4 linked regions of the Lonchura striata genome follow. The protein of the gene in region 4 binds, or shares a complex with, the protein of the main gene of each other region. Links are inferred from orthologs where the notes say so. Each region holds a gene or a part of one and is shown on either strand. Other genes may lie near its edges.

The links.
Region 1: the proteins of RPS6KA1 (region 4) and SNTG1 are in contact, whole or in part, in a crystal structure (PDB 7PC8), measured with the Homo sapiens proteins. The link is inferred for Lonchura striata from reciprocal best matches to the Homo sapiens genes RPS6KA1 and SNTG1. Residues at the interface, in NP_002944.2 of Homo sapiens: Arg728, Lys729, Leu730, Pro731, Thr733, Thr734, Leu735; in NP_001274742.1 of Homo sapiens: Gly67, Phe68, Gly69, Leu70, Ser71, Ile72, Lys73, Gly74, His78, Ile80, Ser85, His118, Glu119, Val122, Leu125, Arg126, Arg141.
Region 2: the proteins of RPS6KA1 (region 4) and SNTG2 are in contact, whole or in part, in a crystal structure (PDB 7QQL), measured with the Homo sapiens proteins. The link is inferred for Lonchura striata from reciprocal best matches to the Homo sapiens genes RPS6KA1 and SNTG2. Residues at the interface, in NP_002944.2 of Homo sapiens: Pro731, Ser732, Thr733, Thr734, Leu735; in NP_061841.2 of Homo sapiens: Gly82, Gly83, Leu84, Gly85, Leu86, Ser87, Ile88, Lys89, Gly90, His94, Ser101, Lys102, Phe104, His134, Val138, Leu141, Arg142.
Region 3: the proteins of RPS6KA1 (region 4) and S100B are in contact, whole or in part, in a crystal structure (PDB 5CSJ), measured with the Homo sapiens proteins. The link is inferred for Lonchura striata from reciprocal best matches to the Homo sapiens genes RPS6KA1 and S100B. Residues at the interface, in NP_002944.2 of Homo sapiens: Ala697, Met698, Ala699, Ala700, Thr701, Ser703; in NP_006263.1 of Homo sapiens: Ser42, His43, Phe44, Leu45, Glu46, Ile48, Val53, Val57, Ala84.

What each region holds. Positions count from the first base shown.
Region 1 is NC_134603.1:41,399,876-41,407,709, forward strand, and holds the start of SNTG1 (gamma-1-syntrophin), read right to left. Parts: upstream 3,013-7,834; 5' UTR 2,705-3,012; intron 1-2,704. UniProt on the Homo sapiens protein: Adapter protein that binds to and probably organizes the subcellular localization of a variety of proteins. May link various receptors to the actin cytoskeleton and the dystrophin glycoprotein complex.
Region 2 is NC_134605.1:95,018,645-95,026,102, forward strand, and holds the start of SNTG2 (gamma-2-syntrophin), read left to right. Parts: upstream 1-4,458; 5' UTR 4,459-4,567; coding exon 4,568-4,639; intron 4,640-7,458. UniProt on the Homo sapiens protein: Adapter protein that binds to and probably organizes the subcellular localization of a variety of proteins. May link various receptors to the actin cytoskeleton and the dystrophin glycoprotein complex.
Region 3 is NC_134610.1:33,263,903-33,271,831, reverse strand, and holds S100B (protein S100-B), read left to right. Parts: upstream 1-4,938; 5' UTR 4,939-5,014; intron 5,015-5,865; 5' UTR 5,866-5,880; coding exon 5,881-6,018; intron 6,019-6,482; coding exon 6,483-6,623; 3' UTR 6,624-7,422; downstream 7,423-7,929. Other genes in the region: LSS (lanosterol synthase), read right to left, coding at 1-45, 449-557, 636-714. UniProt on the Homo sapiens protein: Small zinc- and- and calcium-binding protein that is highly expressed in astrocytes and constitutes one of the most abundant soluble proteins in brain.
Region 4 is NC_134628.1:279,860-287,539, reverse strand, and holds the start of RPS6KA1 (ribosomal protein S6 kinase alpha-1), read left to right. Parts: upstream 1-4,665; 5' UTR 4,666-4,712; coding exon 4,713-4,775; intron 4,776-7,680. UniProt on the Homo sapiens protein: Serine/threonine-protein kinase that acts downstream of ERK (MAPK1/ERK2 and MAPK3/ERK1) signaling and mediates mitogenic and stress-induced activation of the transcription factors CREB1, ETV1/ER81 and NR4A1/NUR77, regulates translation through RPS6 and EIF4B phosphorylation, and mediates cellular proliferation, survival, and differentiation by modulating mTOR signaling and repressing pro-apoptotic function of BAD and DAPK1.

The sequences.
Region 1 (7,834 bases), on a different chromosome or scaffold from region 4:
CAAACAGGATTTCCTGCCAGCTCATGAAAGCTATGCCCAAAAAGCATGACTGAGAAAACACACACACACAAAAAAAAAAAAAAAAAAAAAAAAAAAAAAGAGGAAAGAAAAATAACTTCTGAGTTTGCCCTGAAATTTCTGAATCAAAGTCAACAATCTTCTCTAGTAAAAAGATTTATATAGAATTAAAACAAAAATGCATACTATAAAGTTAAATATGGAAATCTCAGATTCAAAAGATACAAGCCAAGTGGGATACAGAACATTAAACAGGATTCTAGAATAGCCTTACAGTGAAGTGTGTGATGGCCACTCCTGAATTTTTAAAATTAAGAACTACACACAATGTAAACTAAAGTATCAATATCCAGGAAGGCTTTCTGACAAGTACCATGTAAAATATAAGGAAAACGTGTGAAGGTAAATAAGGTTAATTAATATCTTAAAAGTGGATATTTTTAATGATGTCTTTAAAGACCTCAAGTCTTACCTTCCCCTTTCTTTTCGAGTTTCTAACAGAAAAGCAACATTTTTTTTTTTCTCAGATCTTGTTAAAACTCGATTCTTTAGCCATGTAAAAGAGGGAAAATTTGACTGTAAGTGAAAGTCTAGAGCACCATGTCCTTTAATTCAGTGATGGGGACCTTCATTCGATTACCTCATAGCTATGGGACAAGACACGGCAAAAGCCAAATGATAAAATATTAAATTATATTTTCTTCCTCCTCAGGCAAAGAGTGAGTATAGCATTAGATTAGTTTGAAAGACTAAAAAGGAAGAAGAGGAGTCTGCAATATGCATCACAAGTGACTAATACAATTTTTAAGCCCCGTTTATTCATATAATCAGGCATAAGCACTTATGCTAACTGTGGAAACCTCGAATGTAATACATAGCCCAAATGAATTCCAGATTAGTGCATGCTTCAGTGTTTCATGTTCTCCCTTGCACATGCCTAGTGAAAGCCTGCCACTCTGCAACAGAGGAAGGAATTACTACAACAAAACCATAGGCAGACTTTGCCAGAAACTATACTTTTTTTTGAAATGAGGCAGAATAAGCTGAGTGTTTTAAGTAATGGATAGGTTTGCATCCCACTGTCTAGCAGCAGTTATTCCAATTGTGTTTCACAGCTTCATCAGAGAGGCAGAAATATGAACAAACTATAGGAGCATTCTCCATAATCTGCACTGAAACAAATGACACTCCCTTCAGTCAGAACATCTTCCACCATTATGGGAAAGGATTCATTTATCTTTCAGCTATAAACCTGAGTTAGCTACATGTTCACCATACTGACATCCCAACATTTTTTAATCTTATGATGTCAATCTTGCATCTACGTAAAAATGTGTATTTCAGTGTGTAAAAAGATCTCTTGCTGCTGACAACTCAAAGTGCATTAACTTGGGAAGCCTTGAGATTTCCACACACACCCACACACTCCTTTCAGTACAGATCTCACTGATTAGAAAACAAAATATCCACAACTTAATAGACCTTTCACACACAGTGGCATTTCTGCAGAAGCATACGTTTCCAACACTTCAACTTTTACTTTCATCACTATTAGCAAGTTATTTTCCCAAGTTATTTCCTACACACACACCATGCCCAGTGCCCCTGCTGAAACTACCACATTCACTGAAACTGAATGAGCTCCTAGTGAAACATCAGAGCTTAGCTGTAAATATGTGTAAATACTTTTATTCTGTGCTGCTTTCCTGTTAGAATACAACATGCATCAAGGTCACTGTAACAGATTGCAGTTTTCAGGCTCATAGAGAAGACACTGAGGAAATCAGTAAGAGCAAACTTAAATAAGCAGTGTTTAAAGTTCTGCCTTCTCCCAAACCTGCCCAGAATTCACATCTCTGTTTCCTGCATTTCAGTCAGGTCTATTCACAGGTTCGGGAACGCTATCACTGCTGAAAGGTGAATAGAACTCGTTCTTTGCAGTGTGACCGGTCTGTTCTGAGCTCTCCGAGTTTTTAGCTACAGATTACAGCCCCATGGGCCTCTCCCTTTGAAGTGGAGTTCCTCTGAATTAGTCCCCTGCCTGCAACCTGTCCTCCATACACTGAAATAAATTACAGTCAACTTTTCCCTTCATTGCCATGTCAAGTGTAGCAATAAATATCCACAGGCTAAAAGCAAACAAACAAGACTGGACGAACCATAACCTCACAGCAAGAGCATCTCAAGGAAGAACACCAGGCAGGGCACAAGAAAGTTAAGGGCATAAAAATCAAAACTCACTATCTGAATCCATAAGTGCGTATGTAAGGCTAACATGCTTCTTGCCTCTCTCCCACAAGAAGCACGGGTGAAAAGCAATTAAGGGGCTCCTACAATTTAGTTAGAGTTCAGCAAAGAGGAGAAAGCATTTTACATTATGAAATGCCTGGGAAAAGGCATCATCTCTTTCAGTTGCAGAAGTGGGAAGCGTTGGGACACGGAGCTTCTTTCCCGGCTATGCACCGGAGCACCGCACCAGCGGTCCGCCCGCGGCGGACTCCGGCGGAGTTGGAGCGGGGCTCCCCTGCAATCCCGGCCACCAATCCCCCCCGCACCTCAACCCCCGAGAACTGATGCTGGCGCCGCCGACCATCCGGCCTCGAAACTGGCAGCAACCGATCAGCAGCTGCAAAAAAAAAGTCACTCGAGACGAAGGAAACGCAGCGAAAAGGAAGCAAGAGCTTACTTGCCTATACAGCACCGCCGGACGACCTCCTCGCAGCTGAGAAACGCTGTGCCGCTCGTCCTCCTCCCACCGCTCCGTGCTAGTTCCAAAATAATTCCTCCGGGCGCCGGCACATCCCCGGGCTCAGCCGAGGAGCGCAGGGAGCCCGGCCGCCTCTCCCCCCCGCCCGGTGCCCATGGTGTCAGCCACAGCTCCGGCAACTCGCGCTCCTGCCCGCCGGCGCTACCTCGGGGCGGGCCGCCGGCTAACAGGGCATCGCAGCCCGGCCGCCGCCGCACCGGCTCGAACTCCGCCGCGCTGGGGGGGAGCGAGGGGCTCCCCGCGCCCTTCCCGGAGACGGAGCGGGGGCGCCGGGCGGGGGCGTGCGGGGAGCAGCGCCGCCCCTCGCGGCGGCGAGCGGCCAGGCGAGGCGCGGCCAGGCGAGGGGAGGCGAGGCGGCGCGGCGCCGCCACCGCGGCCGCAGCCAGGCGCGGCGATGCCGGCCCCGCCCGGGACCCCCGCCCGCCCCCCCGCCGCTCCCGGGGCGCTCCGTAACGCCGCCCCGCTGCCGGCGCCAGCAGATCCGGTGACGCGCAGCCCTCCCCCGGGCCGGCCCCCGTGCCGGAGAGGGGCGAGCGGGCGGCGAAGCGGGAGCCGCTTCCCACGGGCAGCGGGAGGGTGAGCTGGACCACCGGCGCGCAGGGACAGAGCGGTCCCGGGCGCGGCGGCGGAGCTGCCGAGCGCCCGGGGGAGGCGGTGTCTCCTGGGCTGCGGGAGAGCCCGCTCGCCCGGAGCCCGCGGAGCTCTCCCCGGTCCTAGGGAGCTGCGGCTGGCCGCTCACCCCGTGCCCGGCAGGAAAGTTATCGGCTCCCCCTCTTTCCTCACTCAACCTCCTCTTTAGTTCAGCTGCCTTGGCTGCCCTTTCTGCCAGCTGTGTGACAGGGTTTCGGCTGGCCGCTCGCCAGAGGGACTGTACATCGATCCCCCATGTAGGGAAGAAATTTGGTGCCGGTTCTATTACTTTGCCTGGCTGGCTTGGCGCGGCACCGGCGCTGCCTTCTCCGCGCCCCGTCTCCCAGCCTCTAACCCAGAGCACGGCTCTGCGGCGACCACCGCCACCGGCGCACAGCCAGCGCCGCTCTTCCGGGCTGCCTCGGACAAGGAGGGGGCCCAAAGGGTGCAAAAGGGGTGAGGGACAAGCTGCCCTGTGCCTCGCGAAAGCCCTGCGTGATCCTCGCTCTCCCGTTCCGCACGCTCGTGCTTCCAGCAGCGCGCACGGTGCCCGGCCGGAGATCCCCCGCAGGCATGGATGGCCCTCGCCGTCGGACAGCGCTGCAATGACACGCTCTAACGCAGCTATCAGTCACTTACACAGGCACACCCATATATATAAAACATAGATATGTATGTACATGCATGAACACACCCCCATACGCATAGGCGGCCGCCGCGGGGAAACCGCATCTCCCCGCGGATGGGGCCGCCAGAAGTCGACCTGCCACGGTGAAGGCAGGAGGAGAATGAAGGCGGCGGGGAAAAGCAGCAGGAGAGAGCCCGAGGGGAGCCGCCACCGGAGCCGCCTCTCGGCGCCGCGCTGGCCGCGGGCTCCCGCGGCGATGCCGGCAGCCGGGCTCGCCGCCCGCCGGCGCTGCGGAGAGCTGCGGGCAGGGAATCCCGCGGAGCCTCTGCGCCTCCTTGGTGTCGGGGAGAGCCCGGCCCTCGTGGGGCTTTTGCCAAACTGAGAGTGAGTGGAGCAGCAGTGGTCTCACCCGCATGCTCTGGGGCCCCTTCTAGCTCTTGGGAATGTTTCTCTCTAGTTAGGCTGAGGATGTCTGGGAGGGTGTCACAATTAAAAGTTCGCTAGAAAGGAGATTGAGCTTTGCTGTTCCGTAGCTTCTCCGATAGTCCTTTTCCCTTCAACTTCTGTAGGCTTCTTCTAATGAAAAGTGGTTTTCACGGGCATCTCACAGTTAAGGGCTTTTCTTCAACCAAGTTGGCAGAAACAAAAATGTTTCTGTTCCTTATGCACTCCTTTTATAAATATTACCTTCAATAATGTGCAGTGAGCTATTGAGGGGGGAAAAGATTTAAACAGACAGCTTAATGCAAGCTAAATGCAAAGCTAAGAGAGTTGCTCCGAAGAATAAAGCTAAATGTTGGGTTGATAAGTGCCTTAGAAAATGCATTGATAAGTTTCATGCCTAATTGAACAGATCTGTACTTCATGTACTTGTCATCTTGAGATACAGATCTTTATCTTTCCTTGTTTACTAGTATTGAATTGATACCAACAGTTCTTGATAGCTACAAACTAACCAAGCTATTTGTCCTACTGAAAGATTGAATAGTTTGAACTGATAGTTCTTCTGACAAGACTGAAAAAATAAATTATTAAAATGGTACATATATGAGGACTGGGATGATTGAAAATCATGTCTGAGAATTTAAATAAATGAAATGTAATGAACTAAAAACTTATCAAAGACAGAAGTGAAGTGGAATTCATGCCCTGCTGGGAAAGTCAACACCCAAGAAAGAAATTTATAAACAAAGTAGAAACAAAAAATATTTTATTACCTTTTAGTTGCTTTGTCTAGAGTCAGTCCCATACTCAAATTTCAACAGGGACAACGTCCTCAGTTTTCGCTATCAGAGTCACCTATTGATTATAGAATCAATACATATCCTGTTCCCCCATCTGTAGGAAGAGCTGTCATTTTTCATGGAGACCTCCCACTTCATTCTTTGTGTGATAATGTAAAGTGGATAGCTCAAGCAAGAAAGGAAATTTCATTTCACAAGAGGAAGCTGTTCTATTTTAGTGCAGTATCTTTCAAACTATTTTAAAATATATTAATATTTATTAAAAACATATTGATATTTATTAAAATACATATAGGTTGCAAGTTTCATTACCACTAAGAATATGCTGAAGATGAAGTCTACCAAACCAGGTGAAAAAAGTGTGCAGTATTTTTTATCATTATCAACCACATTGTGTGAAATAAATGTGCATTCCAGTTTTACACACAATTACATTCATGTTACATTCATGTTGTATTTTTGCTTCAGGCAGAACAAACACAAAATAAGATTTTTACGTATACAGAAATCAGATGTCAGGTAAATTTAAGATGTAGTCAACAACATGAAGCAACATTTATAGTCAGAGAGGTGAGCCAGAATTGTTTTTATGTAGTATGGAATATGTTAATTAAGAAATTTCACGTAATAAGATGATGGTAGATTGGCATCTGTTTTAGATTCTTCAGCTTCAGCAGCCTGGCACCACTCAAGTCACCAACAAGGATGGAGTGACAAAGGATGAGAAGCATTAAAAATGGAAGAAATGGAGGCTAAGCATGAAGAAAAATTGTCATTACTTAAAAAATATGAGAATGAAAGGAAGAATTTTACCCACCAAGCAAGCGAGTGACACTCTTGGTAAAACTGTATTGACTACCTATCTGCAAAAGATCATTTTTCTTCTTTTCTGTTTCATAAATGACTACAGCATCCATTTTTTTTTTCTGAATGTATAGCTCACTTTGAGTGTGGGCAGGGCTTCTGGCATTTGGCAGCCAAACCCTTATGCATGTGTCTGTCACACATAAGCCTCCCTCTGAAAATGCTGGGAAATAAAGGGCAGAGAACTCAGCTTTGAAAAAGTGCATGGGAAAAGAAACTACCAGTTGTAGTGGCCAAGTAACATGAATGTATGAGAAAGATGTTTAAATGCTTTGGGAAATAGAGAGTGGTTTTTGTCCAACATCACTGCAGCATTAGATTTTCCATTCCCGTAGCGTGTCCTACCACCTCTGGGAACACATCATGGCTGATAGGTTATTAATTGGTTCTGTGAGAATAGAATTAATCTATTTTCAATATCCACTTTTGGAAAAGAGAGCAGTCAGAGTAACAAATGTAACACCATCAAGGACAGGTGTCACACTTTATAGAAAGTGGATCACAAGGTCATCGATAAGCTCCTTGGTATTTTGTGTATCAAGGTGCACATGAAGAGCACATTCCCAATTCCTGATGATATAATTTTGGTTTTAACTTCCATTCACAGACTGATAATAATCCACACAACTATGTCAAAAAATATGTGAGTATATTCCCTCTTTTTTCCCCATTTAGTCTAAACTAAGCTTCACAAAAATACTCCATTTACGAGTATCAGGCACCCTTATATAAAATAATGTGTCATTTGTCACCATGGCTTGTAATCTGAAAATATGACTGGGGAACTGATGGAGACCAAAATAGTCTTCTACAGTCTGTAGGTGGCCAAAATATTCTGCAGCTATATTCCATAAAATTCCTTGCTGCCGTGACTTCTTTCTCAAGAACTCTTGTCAGTCCACTTAAAACTCTCACTCACATGGGCCCAAAGAGAGACATGGGGGTTTGTTCAAATTGTAACTAAATATAGTTATACATTAAAATTCCTCTTTTCTCATGTAAACAGGATAGTAGCAATTCCATAAATTCTGCGCAAATTTTTACTTTGAAATTCTGGGCTTTTAAAATCATCTAAAGGCTTGAAAAATTTAAAACCATACAGCTTGAAACCTAACAGCAGAGAATCTCAAGCGACACTGGGAAATTCATAGTCTTAATATCATTCCTTAATCCTAAATTATACATGCAGCCTGTATATCATAATCAGTACTGTTATTATTTATGGTAGTCTATAAATGGCTTGCATCTCATTAATGGGTATTTTTAACAGAGAAGATAATTTGGATAAAATTTTAACAAAGGATTGTAACTACTCTCAAGGAAATTATTAGCATTATTTGCCTTAGTAATTAATTTATTAAAATAAACTATTACAAATCAAAAGAGACAAGTAAAACATCATGGGCTATAAACAGTATGACCTAAGAAAATTATTGATTATATTTTTCTGTTTCATTCTCAACAAAAAACAATTATATTTGCTTTCTCACAATTATCCTATTTCTTCAACAAAAGGAGATAGAATTCCCCTATGTGCATTTAAAAATTAATTGTACACATTGCAAAGTTTGAAAATGTTTGGGTTTTTTTTTTACATTTGGAAGAAAAATAACTCATAAAAATATAATTTGAAAATAACTAATGTACATTCTGTAGGATTTATGAGTCTTCATAAGAAAACAA
Region 2 (7,458 bases), on a different chromosome or scaffold from region 4:
TCCTCATCAGGATAGACAGCAGTTTCCTTGGGACATCTGGCATTTTTATAATTCCTTACCTACAATTTCCAAGTCAAAAACTTATTTTTCTAGTTGTTTGCCTCTAGCTGAATTCCAGACACTCATCAAAAGCCAATCTCTCATTTTCCTTTGCAGCTGAACAGGGGAGAGATAATATTAAAAAAAAAAAAGTTAATTGGTTGAGATAAGGACAGGGAGACATCACTACCAAATACTGTCATAGGCAAAACAGATGCCAATTACACATATTAAGTTTATTACTAACAAAATCAAAGCAGAATAATGTAAAGTAAAATAAGACCTTAAAAACACCTTCTCCTGACCCATCCCTTTTTCCCAGCTCTATCTCCTCCCCACAGCAGTGCAGGGATATGGGAATGGGGGTTCTAGTCATTTTATTACCATTGTTTCTCCTCTCTCCACAGGTCTGCAGGACTCTGCTCCAGCATGGGCCTCCCACAGGGTCCCAGCCTCCTCCAGGCATCCCCCTGCTCTGGTGTGGGGCCCCTCCATGGGCTGCAGGATCTCTGCATCCCTGTGGATCCCCACGGGCTGCAGGGGCAGGGCACAGCTGCCTCACCATGGGCTGCACCACGGGCTGCAGGGGAATCTCAGCTCTGGTGCCTGGAGCATCTCCTGCCCCTCCTTCTGCACTGACCCTGGTGTCTGCAGAGCCTCTGAGAGTTCCTCTCATGTTCTCATCCCACTCTGCTCTGGCCACAATTACACCAGCACAATCACTTTTCTTTTTCTTCTTCTTAACTGTTATCTCATAGGCATTACCAGCAGTTCTAATTGGCCCAGCCTTGGCCAGGGGCACATCCCTCTGGAGCTGTCTGGCATTGGCTCTGCTGGACACTGAGGAAGCTTCTGGCAGCTGCTCACGAAAACCAACCTTGCAGTCACCCTACCAAAGCTTGGCCATGCTAACCCAATATACTTTAAAAAGTTTTCTTTGCTTCCCTATATCTTCCCACAACAGAAAATTAAGTGGCAGAGCATTTATTTTGTTAGTAAAATATTAGGTGTAATTAGATGTAATGAAGTTCACAAAGCAATTAAGTTTTACAAAAGGCCTCCTTCCTGATTAATACAGAAAATATTAACATCTAAAAACTAAAATGACATCTGCAAATCTTGGAGTTTGTATTAAGACAACAAATGGAATTCAGTAGCTTTGTGAATGTTCTTGTATTGACAGAGTTATGTTTTAATGTCTGCATACCTAAGTTTCCTGGAAAATTAAATTATACTCTTTCATTCACTTTTCTAGAAGAAGTCTTTAACCTTGACATCTTAGTAAAATAAATTATTTATTGTTTTAGTGCCAATAGTCTTCTGCTTCCACTCTCTAAGTCAGGAATCATCTGTGTGTATGTATGCTTGTATGTGCAAATGCAAAGCATGTCTATGAAAACAGAAAGAAATAAAACCCGGTCATAATATGATACCTTCCAGAGTCAGCAGTTTGCATCTGTCTTCATGCATGCTGATTTTATTCAAACCTTTTCACAATTTTCAATTTTCCTGTTGTGAGGCAAGTCAGATCTGAATGAAACTTCTTGGCAATTGTCTAATGTAACACCCCAAAATAATGAGTTTGGCTTAAAGCCATCTTATTGAAAACATTCTGCATTGTTTTGAACTGCCGTCTCTTTGCATGATTACTTTCTTGATGATTTGTAGATTTTTATGATAATTTCAAAAATTTACCTTATTTCAAATTATGGGATTTAATGTAATCCAGAAAAACAAAAACTCTCATCACTAAAATAGCTATGTGACAGGTAGCTTCCATTTACTTTATTTCAGAAATGGCAAAAGCAAAAAGTTTTGCAGGTTCAGAGATGCAGTAAAACTGAAAAAGTACAAAAAGAAGACAGGGAAGAATGCACACATGTTTTCAACTAGTAGCAAACTGGACAAAACATCAACTCCTAAAGAAGCTCATAGGTTTCTTAAGCTACTAAACCTGATCACCCCTTGAAATAAAGCATTAGATGAGGCCATCTCAAATTTGCTTAGCTCAAGTAAAAATATTTATTTTTTCCTAATCCTTTCACAAATTATATGTACCCACTCACATTCAGTACAGCAATACCATAGGAAAATATAATAATTCACTGAAGGGCATTTGTTAATTCCAAAAAGAAATTAACAATAATAGTTCCTTGGCTGTCGAATTCCAGAAATCATTTATGTAATTGTCATTGTTAAGATATGCCACTCAGGTAGTCACATATTGTGTACCAGGCTTCATTATATCAACTGACAAAGATTTTTACGTTTAAAAAATCACAGATTGTAGGTAAAGAGAAACATTCTAGAAAGTAAATTCATTCTATTTTACTTATCTCTGTCAGTAATTTCACATATATATTCCATGTACATTATCCTATACCTGCCATTTATTTTATATTTACACTAACTTGTATCTCCACTTTTTAATCCTCACTTTTATGCCATATTTATGAAGAAGATCCATGAGAAGCAATGCTGGATGAGGTAACAAGTTTGTAGTCACAGGAAACTATTATCCATACTGGCAAATACCTGCCAGGAGTGCTGCTGTTATTTGCTGGCTCTGGCAACTCCCATGGAGCAGTCCACCTTTGCTTGCTTTGGCTGTCTTTAGCCTCATACCTCTCACAGTGTCTGCATGCACCTAAGTCTGAATGGTCATGCAAGGCAGTGGCCCAGTCTCATCTCTTCCAACATTTCACGCTCTGGTGTGCTGTCATGCACTTTTCTACAGGCAGGGAGTGAGATAAATGCCTTTTTATGCACAGGATGGACCGGGGCAGATTGGCTTCAGTATGAACTCCAGCTCTTGAGCAGAATGGCATTGATTCCTTGCTGCATGTCAAACTCCACACCTCTGTGCATGGTAAAGAAAACAACTCAAGCACAGGTGGAGGGCCCTGAGCAGCACTGGAGAACAAATGAAATCCCATAATCCCACATAACTGCCCTCTTGTCCACCTCTTCCCTTCTTCTCCAGGGCTCTGGTATGTATGAAGATCAAACAGTCAACAGGGATGATGTCAGGTATCTTTTGACCAGGAAAACATGGCAAGAGAGGAATTCATTCTAGGGTAAAGTACAGCAGTGGCAACCAATATTTTTGTATAGATTTACCTCCAAGAGAAAGATTATGCATGTTTCTTTCTTGCTTTTCTCATGCGCTTTAGCAGGGGGAAAAAGCCCCAACTCTTAAAGTAACTTTATAAGAAGTCTAGCTAACTCCAGTCATACTTTTATTTTGTGTATGACAAAGGCAGAGGTGTCAAAAGAGAACAGAGATGCTTTTTCAAATTACATTTAGGTAAGAAAACAAAGTTATGCACATGAAGCACATATTTTTAAATCAAGTGATAGAAAAAATTAAGAGCTTTCCCTTCTCTCTCCTTAAGAGTCAAAATATACATCTACTAATAAAGTAGTTTGTTAAGGACCGGAAAGAACTTCTTTGCCTTGGGATCAGCTTCAACATTGCTACCACTGGACTGCAAGAAGCTCCCCCAAAACTAATAGTCTGGGCCATGGACCATGATCAGGAATTGGATGGAAGCTAAAGATGCACGGGAAAGCAAAATCTCATCACAATGTTTAGGACTGGGGGCTTTTCCTGGCCAAGTGCTACACAATGCCGAGGGTATCAAGAATACTCGACGGACGACAGGCTATTCTTGGTTTTGATTCAGAGATCAGCGAGCAGGGCTATGTGCGGCTGTCGCTTGTGATCCAACGCGAGGCGCAGCTGCCCGCTACGGGCGCGGACAAGGCGAGGGGGCTGCGCTCGGAGTGGCAGCGCCCTCACCCCGCCACGTCGCCCACCTTCCCCCGGCAGCAGCAGCGCCCCTGCCCCGCCGGGGGGACGCGGGAGGCCGGAGCCCCCGCCCGCCTTTGCCCCGCGGGGCGGCGCGGGCGGGCCGAGCGGAGCCGCGCGGTGTCGGGGAGGAGCGCGGCAGCGCTCGCAGGAGCACCCAGAGCTCGGCTGTCGGGATGAGGCCGCGGAGGGGAGGGGAGCGGGAGCAGAGGCACCTTCCCCCGGCGAAGAGCCAAGTTAAATAGCCAGCGCCACGCCGCCGCCTTCCTCTTCCCTCCCGGCTCCGAGCCCTCGGCGAACGCCCCCGTCCCACCCCGCCCCGCCCGGCCGCGGGCGGCGGAGGGCAGCGCGGAGCCCGCCTGCCCCGCGGACCCGCCTGCCCCCGGAGCCCGCCTGTCCCCGGAGCCCGCCTGCCCCCGGAGCCCGCCTGCCCGCGGACCCGCCTGCCCCCGGAGCCCGCCTGCCCCCGGAGCCCGCCTGCCCCGCGGACCCGCCTGCCCCCGGAGCCCGCCTGCCCCCGGAGCCCGCCTGCCCCGCGGACCCGCCTGCCCCCGGAGCCCGCCTGTCCGCGGACCCGCCTGCCCCGGACACCGCCTGCCCCCGGAGCCGGGACGCCGGCGCTGCCGGGAGGGGCGGGCGCTTGGGAGTCGGTGTTGGAGGCGCCGCGTCCCGCCGAGCCGCCCGACTGAGGGGACTACGCCAGCTGCATGGGAGGAGATGAGCGTGGCGGGGAAGAAGCCTCCTCCAGCACCGCTCGAGCGGCCCGGCAGCCTCCTCGTCCCCACCTGGGCAAGTACCGCTCTCCCTCGGCCCGTCCCGGTGCCAGCTCCCGCGGCGGGGCGGGGGTGGGGAGGGTCCCGCGGCGGCGCTGCCCGAAGAGCGGGAGGGAGGCGCCTGCGGGAGGCACGGCGAGCGGGGCGGCGCGGGCTCGGGATGCCGGCGGGGCTCGGGATGCCGGCGGGGCTCGGGATGCCGGCGGGGCTCTGCCGCGGCTGCCCGGGCGGGACGGCCGCACCCCGCCTCCCTCCGCAGCCGGGAGGCACCGGGGCCCGAGCGCGGCCGGGCGGGACGTGTCCCGGTTGATCCCGGTCGCGATTCTCAGCGCGCCGTGACAGGCTGCAGCGTGAGGGTCGAGCTCCCCGGGGACCGCCTTGCATCACTCAGCTTGAAACCCAGCTGCAAGCCTGAGATGATAAATTAAAAACAAAACAAAACAAAAAACCAAAGGTCAGCTACTTGGATGTATTTAGCATCTCATGCACTTTTAGGAGAAGCCCGTGAGGGAGTTAGAAAAAAACTTGCTACTTCACGGCAGCGTATTTGGCAAATCATTCATGAATGATGCCCTCTGACGGCGGTTCTCCGCTGTCCTGGTTTGTATAAAATGTAGTAAGTCTGTCCTGCAGACCTTTTAAAACCATTACAGACTCTGTGGTTTAACACGCCACTCTTCTTGGCATGTAAAGTTGTTTTGTCATTGCAATAGTTTTCGATCACCAGCTAAAAATTTATTCATTGTATTTATATAAAATATGTGCTGGTGCTAAAAAAACATTTTGGTGACCACAACCTTTCAATTTTTAAAAGAAAAATTGTATTTATCTTCCTGCTGTTTTATCCAGAGTGTTGTTTAGAAGGTACCTCAGTTGCATGAAAGCTGACTTAGAGACAGGTTCTCCCTTAGAGTGATTTGTAACTACTTCAAGCTTCTGTAATCATAAAAATGAAAGTAATATTTGGAAATTCAAATGTAGAAGAAAAGGGTAGAGGATACCTATAATCATAAGCATGTCTGGCAGTTGCACATAAATCTGTGGAAACAAACTGTTGTCTTGTCTGAGAAGCTTTCACAGCCTGTATTTGCATCTATCTTTTGACTGTGTGTGAGGAGATGCATAAATTTAACCTTTGAGGTTTTAGAATTTCTATAGTTCAAAAAGAAATAATGGAGTTAAACCTACTGTGTTTTAAAATTGTTTCACAGGTCTTAATTTGTAAGACCTGTTCAGGAACTGCAAAAATAATCTGTGCAGCAATTATCTAAAATGTTAACAGCTGAGTAGGTTGTATGGCAGTTCAGGATATTTCAGTGTTAAGGGTGAGGAATAATCCCTATCGTTAGGTGAAATTTATTACTGGTATTCTTCTAGTTGTGTCAAATGTGTATGTTTAAGACCAATAGGACATGCCATTTCTGCTGTTACTCATAGGACTGCTGCCTGGGACCAAACTAGGCATGGACCAATGGTGAACTGACCTCTTGGACAAGAGCAATAGGAACCAAAGGCATGTGACTACACAATGTACTTTGACCCTAAATGAGAAATAATGCTATGAATCTAAGGCTTTGGCAAGCTGTCTGTTTCTAACAAACAGACAAATTTAGTCTCACTTTCTTGGCTATTTCTAACAGAGGTATGTGATTGAAAGAAGGAATGAATAAATAGTAAAAAAGCCATTTAGACTCAAGTTCAACTGGGACATCTTATGGCAGATAATTGCTTGGCTCCCCAGATATGCCACGTACTGAACTTCTGAAGAAAATTATGCTCCAAAAGTATTGAAAAAAAAGAACTTGATTTATTATTCACGGAGTGACAAGTGCTTGACTTGCATCTTCTTAAGTTATTTAGCAGTATTGGAATCTAAACCTGTTTACTTTGTTAAAAGAAAAATGTGTATTTTAATGCCTGTGTATTGACTGTGTGCACATTTTTCTCAGAAATAAGATATGATAACAGTAGTTAGTGTTTAATAAATATTGCTTGCTGAGTCAAATTAATTGTTTGGGATTCTAGTAGCTAGACAATATTACTGCTAAAAGATAAGTGGGTTGTTTTTGTGTTTTTTTTCTCTTCAGAAGGATAACAGTTAAATACTACGCCCTGGAAAGTAACTCAGCATACTTCTAAATTAAAGACAATTATAGATTTGTAATACAATACTATTTTTTTTGCATGTATGTATCCATATGTATCTGTATCAATTATCTATAAACTTCTTGAAGTGCAGTTGTTTATGTTCAGTTCTATAGAATGAATTTTCAGTCAGACCTTGTCTTTAATGTTTTTCCAATCTCAGTGTAATGAAACACCTGTTTCATTCAGTACCAGACATAGATTCTTACTCATCCGATTTCAAAAATCAGTACATGTTTCCTCTATCTGTAGTGAACTTTTTGTTCTAATTTCTCATATAATCCTTTCCACCCTTTGCCCTTGGAAATACTCAAGGGGTCATATATCTTTGTAATTTTTACAATGTTAGAGTGCTTGTGCCATGTTCTTACATGGATTTTATGGTCTCATTGATCTAGTATGCATTAGTTACTGTGGTTTTCATTGTGTTGCTAGAAACTTGGAAGGAAATGATAATGTAAGAGGTACTTGTACTATTGATACTGCACGAAAGAAGAAATAAATGTACAGTTCATTGCTATGTAGAAATAGACCTTTTTTGGTTTTGGGTTTTTTTTTTAATAGGGACTATTATCTTAAACTTGGGCATATTATATGTAGAAGATCCAGTTTTCTAATAACTTCTATACACAACCAGAAAAACAGCAATAAGTAGGCTGTTCCTTTTTATAGCAGAAACCCAAAGATATA
Region 3 (7,929 bases), on a different chromosome or scaffold from region 4:
TAGTTGAGGGCTGTGCCAAACACTGTTGATTTATCTTCCACGTGTCTGTCAGGAGCATACACAGAAACACCACATCCATTAGTCAGCTATTGCCATTAGCCAGACATAAGCTACTGCACAAGGCTGTCTTAGTTAGGGTGAAGTGGGATGCTAGGGGTGACTTTGGAAAAGAGGGACCTGACTAATACAGGAACAAACATTGCTCTGTGCTATCCTGTCACACATGATGCTTTGGGAAATAGTGCCCCAGAGAAGATGTAGCCAGACTTGATGCTATGGACGCCTCTGTGACAAACAGTGTACGTGGAGTGCTGCGCAAGCAAGTCCAACCACCCACAGCTATCACAGGTAGCGAGTCCCCCTCCCTGAGCCTGGGCAGACCTGACAGCAGCTCCAAGTTCTACACCTTGGAGCTACCATCACTCAAAGAAGCATCTTTGGTACTCACAAGCCCCAGCCTCCGTCCGGGAGCTGCACAGAGCGCAGGTAGCGTACCATCTCCTTCCGGAACCCCTCGGGCAGCTGGATTTTGGCCGTGTGGCAGGTGATGAGGAGACCTGGAGGACCAGAGAGGCCGGCACTGTAGAGAGCCGAACCCCAGGGCACCCACTCCTGGGAGGGGTGTCCAGGTCTACCTGGCAGCAGGAACAGCGGCCCGCCGTAGTCGCCCGCCCAGTGCCCATCCTCGGCCTGCAGCGCTGCGTAGAACCGCATCCCGTTGCGGGCCGCCTCCCGGGCCGAGCCGGCCGCCGGCAGCGGCTGCAGCGTCGCGCCCTGTGGGGAGACAGGGGCAGCTCAGCGCTGCGCCCCGGGCACGGCCCCGCCGCCCCGGCCCGGGCCCCCCGCACCGTGTCCAGCCCGAGGCTGTGCTGCTCCAGCGCCGTCTGCGCTCGCCGCTCCCCGGCATCGCCTTCGCCATCGCCCAGGTAGCGCCAGAGCTGCCGCCCGCCCTCGCAGCGCAGCCGCCAGTCCGGCAGCTCCGTGGCCGCCGCCGAGCGCCAAGGGCCGCCGCGCCGCCGAACCGCCCTGCCGGACACGGGCACCGTGAGCCGCGGCCGCCACCGCCGGGACCCACACACCGCCCCCGCTCTCCATCGCGCCGCCGGCACTCACACGCCGTCCGCCGCCATCGCCGCCCCGACCCCGCCGCCGGCTGGTCCCACATCGCCTCACGGGCGGCAGCCAATGGCGGCGCCCGGCCCGCCCCGTCTCCTCCCGGCCCGGCCCGCCCCGTCTCCTCCCGGCCCGCCCCATCTCCTCCCGCCCGCCCCATCTCCGCCCGGCCCGCCCCGTCTCCTCCCGGCCCTCCCGTCACGGGACAGCCCCGGCAAGCTGCTGGGGCTGCGCCCCTCCGTCGCACATCTGCCCCTGGCACAGGAGTGCCATCCCTTCCACAGACGCCGACAGCCGAGCTGTCCCTTTGGGTGACAGCGCCAGCCCCTAGAGCGACTGTATCCCCCTCCGTGCACCCCCAAAGTCCAGGCGTGCGGTTTCCGTCGTTAATGGAAGTAACAAAACAACTCCGGCCCAGCCTGGTGCCCAGCTCATGTGGGCCACGAGGGACTGGGGAGATGTGTCGGGGTGCAGTGCCAGCCCTGGCACAGCGCACCCTGACCCGCGTGTGCCCACGCTAAACTGGAAGAAAAGCCGTTCCATGTCTGTGCACTGCCCAGAGACAAAAGAGCTACTCACAAATGTTGCACCCATCAACACCCCAGGACAGAAAAATGCCTGTCTATTAATACTTACATATCATTAATACTTACAGTATATAATGCACACTATGAGCTTAATTCAAAATACTCCTCTTCTAGCAAACAGGTCTTCACTCACATCCAAAATAACATCAGGGATTATCTGCAAAGGATGCAATGATTTTATTTGATAATTAAATAATTAATATTGTATTTATTTCATAAACTAGGATTAGGTCACTCAGTTCAGCCCTGGCTGTGTTCAGTAAGAGCAAAATGTTTTTTGGATAGTGCTGGACTTTTCCTGGAGGGAGAATGAATGGGGATAATACATTTGACTTGTGTATCATCCCACTGGTCCTCAGCAGGGAGAGCTGTGCTGCTTCTCTAGCAGTTTATATGAACAGAGAGAACTAGAAGTTCACTGACATGGTTGTTCTATTTGAGGCTTAATAGTCTGTTTATTTTTGGTTTAAAAAAAAAAAAACCTGTCATAATGACTCTGCCCGAAACGAGTTTAATGAAAGTATCCACTTGTCCATGGATGCCAAAATCTTAAGATAATTTATGGTAATATTTGCCTAAGGGGAGTGATGGAGGATGAACAACTTAGTTTTACTTTTCTGTCTCTATACAACCCACCTGCACCAAAAATTTTTAATAATTGCCAAATTCCTGTTATTTAGACCTTGTTTTCATCCACGTTTTTCTGTGTCTGAACCTCATCTGGATTCTGCCAGGAGGTAGCTCACCTCTGGCTGCTGTGTTTGTAGGTGCCAGGGAACCTGCTCCCTGCAAAGCTGCTGTGTGTGCTGGCACTGTGAGTGCAGCCCTGCAGAGGCACAGGCAATTTCTTCACCCTCCCACCCAAATTCCTCTGCTTTCATTACTTTTTTTGTCCCAGTTCAATGACCACTGGCATTTGTCTCATGGTCTGGCAGAGCCTGGCGCCACACACACCCGAGAGACAAAGAAATAGGCTGTCTTTTCTCCTGGTATGAGGAGCCCACATTGTGAGGAGACAGGCAGAGGGCTGAAGTGTTTTGCTCAGCTTTGGGCACTGAAAAACCCTCTTGCTTCTTTAAACACATCAGCCCAAAACTCTGGCGAGGAAGCTCTGACCCTGAGGAAAGAAGCCCCAAGGTTGCACCTGCCTATTCGAAGATCAGAACATGAATTTTAGAATAACAGAAGCTACTCTTTGGGCAGCAGTGAAAGCACCACTCACAGCCCCATACTCATATCCAGACCTCCTGGACTGTCCCAGGCTGGGTTAGGGATGATCCAGGCCAGGAAAACAGCCTTTACAAAGGATATTAGGCCAGATAAAAATCAGGAAAGTCTCTTGGAGCTGCTCATTAGCAGAAGTAGAAGAGGGTCAAGGTTTCTGGTGTTCACATCTGATCCTGCTGCTCCTTCCCACCCTATCAGGACATAATTCCAGATCATCACCTGTAAAATATAGAAGTCGGAATGATTTGGGGAGAAATGGCAGCAAGAATCACCAGGAAAGAGAATTTTAAGATTGTTCAAGTTTTGATCTGTCAAATGCTACTTTTTCTGTTCCATTTTAAGGAAAGGTCACTTTACAGAATGACATCAGAATATGGTTTAAGGAGATGATCTAGGACCTTGTCTCTGACTAGAAAAGGTTTGCTTTAATGCATTTCTTGGCTGAGGACTGAGCTAGAGATCTACCGGATCAAATTTCTATCAACAGAAAAATGCTGTCTCTTTCCTGCTGACAGAGAGCCCCATTTATAGCCAGCTCTTACAGGAATGCAAGTACTCCTGGAAAAAATCAAATAGTGCAAAAATTGCTGACAAAATACCTCCACACTAGAAACACCACTACCTAAAAGCATCCCTGCTGTCCCTGCTAGCCCCACCAGAGCACAGATAACTGTTGTCGTTTGCAATACCCTAAATGCAAGAATTTCAGTGGTCATGTAAATATTTAGTCAACAAATTCAACCTTAATGCTGGAGAAATTATTTTTCCCCAAATCAATTTGAGCCTGTTAGAAAAACTTTTATGAACTGATGTAAGGAAATTATCAATGTAGATGTTTTTGGGAGATTTTTTTTGGGGGGGTTGTTGTTGTTGTTGTTTTGGGGTTTTTTTGATTGTTGGTTTTTTTTTTTCAAGTAACAAAGTCAGTGTCATAGATCAGTAGATTTGGGAAAACTGCCAGGGAATATGTCTGTCCAGCAACAGGGTTTATATAAAAGTGCATTTAATGCCAGTTCATGGTGGCTGCTGGGGCTGGCAGGGGACTTCTGAACAAGTTTTATATCAAGATCCCATTTAAAAGTAAATAAAGAATTTAGGTTTGAGATAACTTTTTAAAGTTTCTAAAAAGACATTTTTTTTTCCTAGTGTGAATCAGTATACAAACAATAACTCATATTTTTCTGAGTTCTGCATGTTGATTTACACATCCCTTCACAGAATTGGTTCAAAACATTTGCAGTTTCACCTGTCTCTGGTGTTAGGTGGCTATTTCTTTAATATTTCAATATTTATTGAACAATACACACAAAAAAGTATAAGTTTTATGCTCACACTGACTGCAAAATGTATGCTTTCACTCCCATGGTATAAATGGCTTTGCACAAGAAGCAAGGCTTTCAGTTTGACAAAGCATTTTATTGGTGGTATGTTTGGTGAAGCAGAGCGAATTGAAATAACCTTATTTTCCCTGTCTGGCCTGACTCTACAATCTTAAAACAGTAGAAAGCAGAAAAAGGGTGTTCAATATTAATAGTGTGCTCCCAATGACCTGTAGTAAACATAGATGTACAAAGAATTGCTATTTTTGCATACTCACTGTTCAGAGCAGAACAGAGCATTCACATCTTTGAATCGCAAGCTTGATTCACATTCTGTGCATTGAAAGACCGATCTAATGAACAGAGAGTAGGCATTCTATATTTGAAAAATATGAACAAATAAATGGCACCATAATAGATTTATTTGTAATGTGTAACAACTGGGTCTAGGGATAATCTCCAAGTGCTTCTTTAAACAAAAAAAAGCTTACTGCAATACATTTTGAAACCGGATATATCCCTATATACGTGTCACTTAGAAAAATTGGCTGATTGCAACTATGCCCCTTACCCCTTCAGAAAACAAAGCGGGCGGCTTTGCAGCAGGCGGGCGGCTCCGCGGGGCGGGCGGGCGGCTCCGCGGGGCGGGCGGCTCCGCGGGGCGGGCGCAGCGCCCCGCCCCTGCCCCGCGGCCATAAGAAGCGGCGGGTCCCCGCGGCGCCCGGCCACGCCGCATCGCCGTGCCGCAGCCCCGCCGGCCGCGGGGAGGTGAGAGGGGCCGCGGGACGCCGGGTGGGTGTCGGCAGGGCAGAACCACCGCTCCACGTACCTCCGATCTGGAGCGCTGCTCAACCTTGCGGACGGCAAGCAGGCAGGGCTGGAGCATGAAAAGGGGATTTTTGTTCGGGTATTTGCTGCCGTGTCTGGTAACTGCTAAGTGGGGGAGGACATCGGCTGTGGGATCAGACTCAGAAGCGTGTGGTGGAGAAACAGTAGCCAGGTCGCAGGGCAGGAGATATTTACCGATGGGATATGAACGAAATGAGTGCCAGGCAATAGGGCTTCTTTATTTTCCCGGCTTTTGGGAAGGTGGGTTGGCAGCTCTCCCTCTTTGATCAGTGTCTCTTTGGTTTGCCCGTTTGTGAAATCTGCAGGGAACGCTGCAATCTGAATTGCTATCATATCCCAAGAGGGTCTTCAGATCAAATATGGGAGAGTGACGTGCTCATTTTGACCTGCTGGCAGTCATCAAAACTGGTTCCTACCGGGTTCCCCTGACTGCTGGGCTGGAGACAGGTCTGCAGGCAGAGGCAAGGCGAGGGGACCTGTGACAGCAGGGACAGCAAAACCATTCTGAAGCCCCAGAGCAGACCCCATGCCTTCTCCTCTCCTGTCTTGTGGCTCTGCTGTTTTCGAGAGCCCCTAGCAGCAGAGTTATGGTCTCTTGTGACCTTCCCCCCGAAGCCAGGGCTGCTGCCAGAGCTTCCCAGCTCTCCCTTGAACGAGGGTCTGACCTTGCTGATCCACGGGCGGAGCCCCAGGGTGGCCGTGCTTCCAAATCCATCGGAATTGCTGGAGCTTGCCCAGGCTGGCGCTCCCAGCGTCCCCTCTGACCGCAGGGCCACGCCACGACCATGTCCGAGCTGGAGAAGGCGATGATCGCCATCATCGATGCCTTCCACCAGTACTCCGGGAAGGAGGGAGACAAGCACAAGCTGAAGAAATCGGAGCTGAAGGAGCTCATCAACAACGAGCTGACCCATTTCCTCGGGGTAAGTACTGCCCTCCCCACAGCCTGGCTGGGCTCAGGGGCCATCCAACAGCCCCTGCACTCCCCTAACTCTGTCTCCCACGGGAAGCCTGCACAGGCAAAGACATTTATTTACACAGCAGGGCATTGAATCCTTTGTCCCAGCTCTACAGAGCAGCAAGATGAGGGGAACAGCCTATATGACAGACTGAGGTGTGGGCTGGACTAGGAAAACTACCTTCCCTGACACGGGGGACAGCCTTGCCCCAAGGGGTTCAAGATGTCACTTCCCAGCACAACAGCTGTAGCTGCAATTCCCTGGGGCACAGGACAACGCCCCACATAGACTGGGAACATCCACAAAATATCTGGGATGTGTCTGAACAGAGATTCAGCCATGAGAGCACTTGGGAAATGGGCACACATTACTGTCTGGGCCTCGCTGTGGTCCTCCTCAGCTTTGGCTGCCTGTTTCTATCCCTTCAGGAAATCAAAGACCAGGAGACTGTGGACAAAGTCATGGAGGCACTGGACTGCGATGGGGATGCAGAGTGCGACTTCCAGGAGTTCGTGGCCTTTATTGCAATGGTCACTGCTGCTTGCCATGAGTTCTTTGAGCATGAGTGAACTGGTGGGAAGCAGGTGAGCCCCTTCTGCTCATGCTGGAGAGAGGCAAGGCAGCATTGCTCCTCCGGGAGAAGGACTGGCTGTGATTACAGACACCTTAGAGTTCAGCTTGCACTAGACTTAAGCAGCTTATTAAAAGTGTTGTGGCTTTGTGAACAAAACCCACTTGTGTGGCTCAGGAAAGGCTATTTATTGGCTAGTGCCCATTGGGCTGGATGCAGTGAGAGAGTGCCTTGCCTCAAGCTCCTTCCCTGCTGTTTTAAGTCAGGAATTTGCATGGGCTAGAAGCAGAGGGATGCTGTGATCCAAGCTTGTGTGCAAAGGAAAAAAAGGAAATTCAAGGGTTGAAGGAAGAGATGATGCAGAGGGGCTGGTTTTGGAAACTTGCTGCCCAGCCCACTGGCCTGAATGGGAAAGCTCCCAGTGACTCCTGTGAGCTCTAGGCATGGCATCAGAAACCAGCTCCTGTCCCATCACAGGTGCTCAGCAGAGCCCACCTATTTCTTGGTACATTGAGACACCCTTGGCTTGCAAGGCAAAGCGTAACAATCTAAAAGCATAACCATCTGACAGCTCAGGCTTTTCACTTATTGATCAACCCTGCTTTTAGCAGCCAGCAGAACTGGAAGCAACAGCATATGAGGCTCCTGCACTGGGGTCAGCTCCTGGGCCTGGGATATGCCTTGACAAGGTGTCCAGGCTCAATCAGAGGGGAAGTGGGAGTGGCCCAGTGTGACCTCAGACCAGGCACAGCCTCCTGAGTGTGTGGAAATGACAAGGAATAAAACATTGGTTTGGCCTCTGGTGAAAAACGTGTCCTTTTGTGCCAGGCTGCTCTGCACTGAGAGAGAAAGGCTGGGGGATAAGGCCTGAAGCACTGCTACAGCTCATCCCCCTGAGGTTCTTGTTGGGCATTGACCCCTCATCTCTTCCCTGGTGTCACTGTAACTGGCCAGACAACCCAGGATTGTCACCAGCACTGTGTTCCAGCTGGCTGCCCATTCTGCCAGGTCTTCGGGGACATAGGGACAAGGGCCCTCTGCAGGATGTGACTGCTGCTACCAGGGTCATCCAGGGGTTTGCAGTGGTGAGCCCTTGCAAAGGCTCAGCTAAACCCAGGACAACCCCCAAAAAGCCTATGCTTCTGCCTCTCCAGTCTGCACCTGCCATCCAGCTCAGCAATACCTGGCAGCTGGGCCTTCCTGGCCTGCAGCACCAACAGTGGCAGATGCACAGCTAAGATGCTCTCAGATGGTACTGGTTTTACCTCATTCCACATACTAGAATGATTTTATGCACAAAATGA
Region 4 (7,680 bases):
GAGTCTGTTTGTTTGGGGTTTTTTGGGATGCTGATGAGGGACAGATAGATTTTCTTTTTCCAGGGAATCAGGTTTCTGCCATCAGTGAAGCTGTTGTGCCTTTTGTTCCGTTCCCAACAAGGAACCCATTGAGCATTCTTTGGATGTATCTCCTACCTGGCCCTGAAGCCAACTGAGTCATGGCTGTGCTCTGCACTGCCTGGAGCAGGTATAAAATACAGAAACAATTGTTATTAGGAGAGACCTGTTTCTCTCTCCCTAAATGCTGAAGGCACCTCTTTCCCCACCTCTCCAAAAGCTCATGCTTGTGTTAAGCCTTCCTACCTGATCCAATCAGTCATTAGGCCAAAATATTCCTGGCCAGGATCACTTCTCATCTTTTATAAGTATATTTTTATGGTTATTTTGGGATGTGGCTTTTCAAGGCTGGCTGTGTGCAGTGGTCTCTGTTTAGTAAGGGGACTGAGAAGTGAAATGCTGCCAGTCATATATTGATCTGAAATCAGACATAAAGTTTGGGGTCCCCCAAAGGAAAATCGGTTTCTGTGGTGTTTGGGCTTCTCGTCAGGATTTCTGAAATTTGCTTCCAAGCCTAAAATGTTTTCTTTTCTTTTTGCTGTGGAGTGATGGCATCCCAAACTCCAGGATGGGGTAATTAGGAGCAGGTATCTGTGAGTGCCTCCTGCAAAGCAGGACCAGACTTGTTCAGCTGCAGGATGTCAGCTCCAGACCGCAAACCCTGGAATGACATTTTCCTCTCCCTGGAGCTGGAATTCTGTTGAAATGTGCTTTTGTTTTCTCCTCCCCTCTCTGGAGAAAGTGGGACCTGTGTGCTCTGGAAGCAGCACAAAACCGAGGGTATCTTTTTGTATCCACTTAAAAGCCCCATCATTTGTTTACAAGTTCTTAAACCTAAAAGAACCATAAACCCTGACTGTACTTGGTGCTGTGTTTACTCAAGTTTCTCCCTCCTGGGGGACAGTGCAAACAGCCCTGGCAACTTCAGTTCTGTTTACAGTTTCTGATAGTTTTCTCTTTCATGCTTTCACTCCCTCACATAGCCCTACACTGAAATAAGCTAGAAACATAGCTGTGTGCTCATTAAAAACTAAATTTGATGGATAACTTGCTCTAAATAACTTCCCACCTGGGCTGCAGATCTGTTCTAAAAATTAAATTAGAAAAGGTGAGGAAATGCTTGTATTTTACATGGGGTTTTGAAAAAGCCTTTTTCAGGTAGGTAAAGGAATATTTTACAAAAGAAATTCTGTGTGAGGGTGGGCAGGCCCTGGCACAGGGTGCCCAGAGCAGCTGTGGCTGCCCCTGGATCCCTGGCGGTGCCCAAGGCCAGGCTGGACATTGGGCTTGGGACAGTGGAAGGTGCCCCTGCCCATGGAATTGGATGAACTTTAATGTCCCTTTCAACCCAAAAAATTCCACGATTCCGGGTGCAGTTTGAGCCACAACCTCTCGATGTTTGGAGGCAGAACTGGTCCGTGCAGCCTGCAGAGCTCTGCTGGGTGCTGAGCACAGGGAGCACGGGCAGATCCCAGGTCCTCAGCAGTTCCTCGGGAACCCAAAAGGATGGACAGCTGTGAAACAGCTCCTCTGTGTCCCAGGAACAGCCAAAGCTTAGGCCAGAACCACATGGAATTGGGCAAAGCATTATGGACCGGCCGTGCATAGATTTAATTCCAAAAACCCAAGTCGCCTCCCACTCTCCCCCCACATGCTGTGAGGAGATGTGTGGGTTTCAAACAGATGTGCTCCTCCTTCTCTTCGGGTGCCAAGGGCTGCATCCTGCGCCGGAGCCACTCGCTGGTTGGCATCCAGGAAAGGGAAGGTGACTGATCCAGGAGCCGGGCAGCGATTGTGTCCATGACAACCGGCAGACACGGCCTCGCCGCCTCGCTCGGCTCCTTCCTTCCCCAGCGCCTTCCCCGGGCACATCCCGGCTCGCGGCTCCCTCGGCTGCATCCAGCATTCCTGAGAGAAAGGTGCAAAGCCCACAAACGAGGCACATTCCCTGGAGCCAGCAGCTCGGTCGGTTCTGCAGCAGAAATCCGGGGCTGGAGCTGTGTGCTTCACCGAGAGGCTCCGGAGCTGCGGATGGGGACGGGTGGATCCACTGAGATACCGCGCGGGACAGGGGGGCTTGGCAGACTGAGAGTCTGCGGGGCCGGCAGGCAAAATGCACTTTATTCTGACAAAAAAGAAATGGTTTAGATGTGCTGGATGCCTTCAGAAATGCATCTGAGCTGAGCAAGGGAACGTGGTGCTGACCTGTGCAGGAATGTCGGCCGAGGTTGGAGGTGTTTGCTCCACAGAGCCTCAGTCTGCACAATCCCTGTTCAGGGAGCAGGAACTGCCTGGGCTGTGCTTCCTCGAGAGCTCTGCATCCCACTGCCTGCTGTGGTGCAATTCCTGCATTCCGACCACTGCCTGGACCTGCCTTGGAAAACGCTGGCATTTGAGGCAGCTGCAATCACACCCAGCGTGGAGGAACAGAAAGAAATCTGTCAGAAAAGCAAAAAGCTCTTAGAGGCAGCCAGTTTTTCTCATTTCCAGGGCCCCTGCTTTGTATCTTCAACGTGGTTTTTACCACGCTACGGAAAAATGTTCCTGGGATCAAAACAAGGTGATCCATCATCTCATCCTCCATAGTGGCAAAACAAAGCAGAAGAGGCAAAGAAATGAGATGGTGAATGGAGAGCCAGGGATTAAAAGACAGGATGTGGAGTTCAGGTTCTGCCCTGACACTGAAAACCTGACTCAGTTTCCCTGTGAGGACAACAACGAGCTTTGGATCTGATTGGTCAATATTAAAAGTACAAAGAGGGTTGCTGCAAGCTCTAATTAATTGACTGTCTTAGCAAATTAGAAGAGTCTGTAAATTGTAGCAGATATTTGGGATTCAGCCTTGCAAGGAAGGTCTTGTGCCTGTGATCTTTTTTGCATTTCCTTGGGTGTGTAAAAGCAGCAGCCCACAAAGCAGGCAGGGGATGAGATGCCCATGCATTCAGAAAAAAAGAAAGGATGCAGTGAGCCATGGGAGCACTGGGTTACTGTGGCCATGGGGAGAATCACTTGGCCAGCTTTTGGAGCAGTCAGGCAAAATTGGATCTGGTAGTGATGATACAGATCAGTCTCCATCTGCTCTGGAAGTGCTTTGGGGGTGTCCTGGTTTCAGCTGGGATAGAGTTAATTTTCTTCTTAACTGGCTTAACAAATGTTGTCAGCGTTTCTGCAAAGGAAAAATGTTACACAGCCAGCCAGCTGCAGAGGCAAAAATATCTACAACTGTATTGGAGGAGGATTTGATGGTTTTAAAACCAAACTAAACCCGCAGCATTTTGAACTTCTAGCAGCACTGACAAAGCATCCAGCTGATCCCAAGTCTCTGTTTACCACAGCAGCAGCTCTTCCCAGCCTGCAACTGTCTCAGAAAAATGCCAGGCTGTATGTTTTAATCACTGTATTTAGCCATGACAGTCACCCAAACAGCAGATTTTGCTTTTTGCACCCTGCTTCCAGGATCAAGGATGCTTTTTATAGCTGTTCTTTGACTGGAAATAAATCCTGGGGGACACCGCTACCTCATTTCTCTTACCCTGACATCCTGGACTTAGCAGCAATTTCCTGTGGCACATTTCACCTTCTGTTAATCCAGCTTGGATTCAGCATTACCTGGAGCAGGAATGGAGGGAAGGTCAGTCTGAGAACTTCTGGCTTCTCTTGGGCTCCTGGAGCTGGCGATGGAGAGGCCGGAGCGTTTCCCCCCAGCATCACTGTGGTGTCACCACAACCTTTTTTGGGGTGTTATTTACTTTTGAGATACTGTAGAGCTACCTCAGCAAAATCCTCTCCTTTAACAAAAGTAGCTGCAGAGAATAATCACAAGTCATTTGTGGTCTCCCCAAAGTCTTTCATTTGCTGTTTTGCTAAAAGGAGTGGACAGGGTAATCTGGCAGTTTTATTTAGGTGAAGCTTCATGATTTCTGTCTTTGTCAAGTCCTGAGGCAGCATGTCTGTCTCTGTGTTATGAAATATGATGGATTTCCTGCATCCCAACCTGGCAGGGGTGGAAGCAGCAGCACTTCTGTCCCCATGCTCTCCATAGGCCTTGATCTGGATATTGCCCATGAACCTTTCACTGCGGCCTTCAAGAAGAAGACTTGATTTTCTACTGTAACTTTTCAACACTTCCAAAGTTATTTATTTGTAACTTAAAAAAAGCAATTGGTTGGACAGGAGGGGACAGCCGGGGGGGTCTCTGCTCCCAGAGAACAGGGACAGGAGGAGAAGGAATGGCCTCAGGCTGCCTCGGGGGAGGTTTAGGTTGGATATTGGGAAACATTCCTTCACCAAAAGGCTGGTCAGGCATTGAAACACGCTGCCCAGGTTGAGTCACCATCCCTCGAGGGATTTAAAGCCGCGTGGCTGTGGCACTGGCAGCGCGGGTTAGCGGTGGCCTGGGGCCGGGGGCATGGCGGGACTCGATGCTTCGCCGGGAGCTTTTCCAGCCCCGGCGATCCCGCGCTCCGACCCGCCGCACGCCGGGCTGGGCTTGCCGGATGCTCCGGGCGGGGGATCCCCGCAGCCCCTCCCCGGCGGCTCCCGCCCCCCGCCCCGCCCCGGCCCGGCCCGGAGCCGGTGCGTGCCCGGCCCGGCGGCGCTCGCAGCCAGCCCGGCGCGGGCAGCCGGCGGCAGCGATGCCGCTCGCCCAGCTGGCCGAGCCCTGGCCCGACATGGAGCTGGTGCATCTGGACACGGAGGTGAGCGGGGGGGCTCCGGGGCGGGGGGCTCCGCCGAACAAAGGAGCGCCCGGCGGGACCCGCGGAGCGGCGCGGGCCGAGCCGCGCCCGCGGCGGGGCAGCGCGGCCGCGGAGCCCGGCGCTGCGGGGCTCTGCTCGGGGCACCGCGGCTCGCTGCTGCCCGTGCGGCTCTGATCGTGCCGGGAGTGCAGGCAGCGCTCCCCAGTCTGCCGGGCACACGGCAAAGCGGAGCCGGCTGAAGGCCCGGGGAATAAAAATCTCAATTTTGGGGGTTTTCTCCCTCACCCTCCCAGCGCCGTCTTCTCGCAAAGGCCTGCGCCGCCAACTCCGACCACGCTCCGGTGTCACTTTGCTGGACTCTGCTCTTCCCTCCCCTTTGGCTCTTTTCCTCCTTACTGAGACCCCCAAGCCAGATGTGCAGGATGGAGCTCATCCCCTGTCCACATCTGCAGGCTGGCACAGCCATTTCTGACGGAAGGGACAGCTTGCAGCAGTTGTCACCCATGGCAGAGCAGTTGTGCTCTGTGCTCTGGCACTCTTCAGTTAAACGTATTCTCACTCAAACTGGAACCAGCAGCTCTCCCGGAGAAACCAGAGGGAAGGTGGGGGTTTGGTCCCAGGTGTTTCACAGACCCTGGTGCTTTCCTGTCGTTCTCTCTGGATTTCATGCTGTCACACTCCGTTATCATACCTGGGGATATCTCCGTGGTTAATTGGTCAGATTTGCTCATTCCTGTTTAAAATTGCCTCTTCAGAGGTCTGTGCTTTGAGCAGCGGCAGCGCTCCCGCCCCCGCTGCAGGGAGGCACTGGCCATTGAGGTGAGGTTTCCGAATTTTCATCAGCCAGCTATGGCACAGCTTCTGCAGCCCCCGTGAGGTGGGCAGGCTCTGCCTGGGCTCAACACCTGGCACGAAGGTGGCTGAAGAGCCTCTGCTCTGGAGCACCGGCGGAGCCGTGAGGAGGAGTTTGTGCTCCAGGCTGGGAGAGGAGGGAAATCCTGCGGCGATTCCCAAATCGCGTCATGTCCCCGAGCCAGGCCGTGGGTTATTGCTGCGAGTCGGGGCTTTTTATTTGTGGTTTCTCCTTCCTAAGAAGAGAGATGCCTGAAAAGCCAGGAAACGCCACTCGGCTCATAATGGGAGGAAACGAGTGCGGGTGCCCAGGGCAGGGGAAGCCGCGGGCGAGGCTCCATTCAGTGCCTAATCCCGGTGTCCCGGTGTCCCGGTGCCGGCGGGCGCCGTGTCAGCGCCACGGGATCGCTCCGAGCGGAAACGGCCGGGGGACCGGGCGGCAGGCACCGATCTCCCCATCGCAGGAGCGGCTGCGCTGCTCGGAAGCCGAGAGCGGAGGGAGCCTCTGGCTCTCCCTGCCCCGTCTCACCTTGGCGCAGCTCCGGGGCAGGGCCGGGCGCCACGCGCGGGTGGGATTGCAGCGGATCAGGTGTTTTGCGTCTCGGGAGCTCGAGTGGCACTTAGCAATTTGCCTCTCTTTGGTTTAAAATGATGAGTACACGCTCTTAATTCCAGCGAGGAATATAATACAGGTGTTCTTCACCTCCACACCTGGTCAGACGTTAGAGAGCTGCCTGAGGTCCTGCAGCAGAGCGGGAATGGGGCTTGGGAGGAGTGTTGCACTTTGAGGCTATAATCGCCAAGGGCAGGGGCCCAAGGGGGAAGTTTTCACCCCTCCTGGGAGAGGTGGCACCACTGAGAAAGCAAGGAGACGTTTCTGGAACACTGGTTACGTAAATTGCCCTGGGATCGCTGCCATCCAGGTTAGAAACCGGCTTCCTCCGACCTTTGCTTTCTGAGTCATGGAGCAGAGGTGCTGTCACCGTGCTGCTGGAGGCATCAGTCCTTTTGTTGAGGGATTTGGGGTTTTTCCACTATGTTCCAGGAGAATTGGCCGTGTGGTGCCCCTTGTCCCGGCCCACCAGAGCTCAGCCATGCCAGGGAAACGCGTGGGAGTGGGTGGCAATGGGAGCCTGAACTGCTCCCTGACAGGAGCCAACTCCCTCTGTCCTGGACTCTGGGCTTTACAATCACTGCTCCTGCTTTTATTCCCCTTGCCATTCTCTCTTCTGCTTATATTATTCCAAATATTGGTTATTGTAGCAGAAAAACGTGGCTGGGGCAGAGTACAAAAGCTGGAGAATGGAGTTGAGTGACGCAGAAATCCTTCCCTGGGAGGGTGGGCAGCCCTGGCACAGGTGCCCAGAGCAGCTGGGGCTGCCCTGGATCCCTGGCAGTGCCCAGGGCCAGGCTGGACAGGGCCTGGAGCAGCCTGGGACAGTGGGAGGTGTCCCTGCCATGGCAGGGGGAATGAGGTGGGCTTTAAGGTCCTTTCCATCCCAAACCATCCTGTGTTTCTTTGATTCCATGACTTCATCCCCATAGTGGTGGATCTGTCATCAGGGCTCCGCTTTGCTTCAAATTCTTCTTTCATTACACAAACCTACAACAATGCAACTGACGTGGGATTACGCCAAGCTCCACCACTTCAAGCTAATTATTTTTGCCTGTATATACGTATCACCCTTTATTGAGCAGGAGCTATTAATGAATAACTCTTTTCTCAAGCATGGTAGCTCGAGTTGTGCAAACTACGATCAAGAGACAAGGGAGACAGCTGAGTGGCTGTCATCCCTGATATGCCTTGTGCAGAGCCTCCTCTGTTTGGGCACTGGAGTTCCTTTGGAGATCTCTATTCTTGTAGAATTATTTCCTTTCTCCAAACTGTAGTAGGCAAGATCCATAAATTCTACTTAATGGTAATAATTTAAACATGCCTTGTTCTTGTGTCAAACTAGCAGGAGCTCTGGGGTGAAGGGTTTCTCCCTCTGCTCCTTCCTTGAGTGCTTCATGGCTCATCAGAGTTGGGTGGAAGAGCAGCTCTGGGTACCTG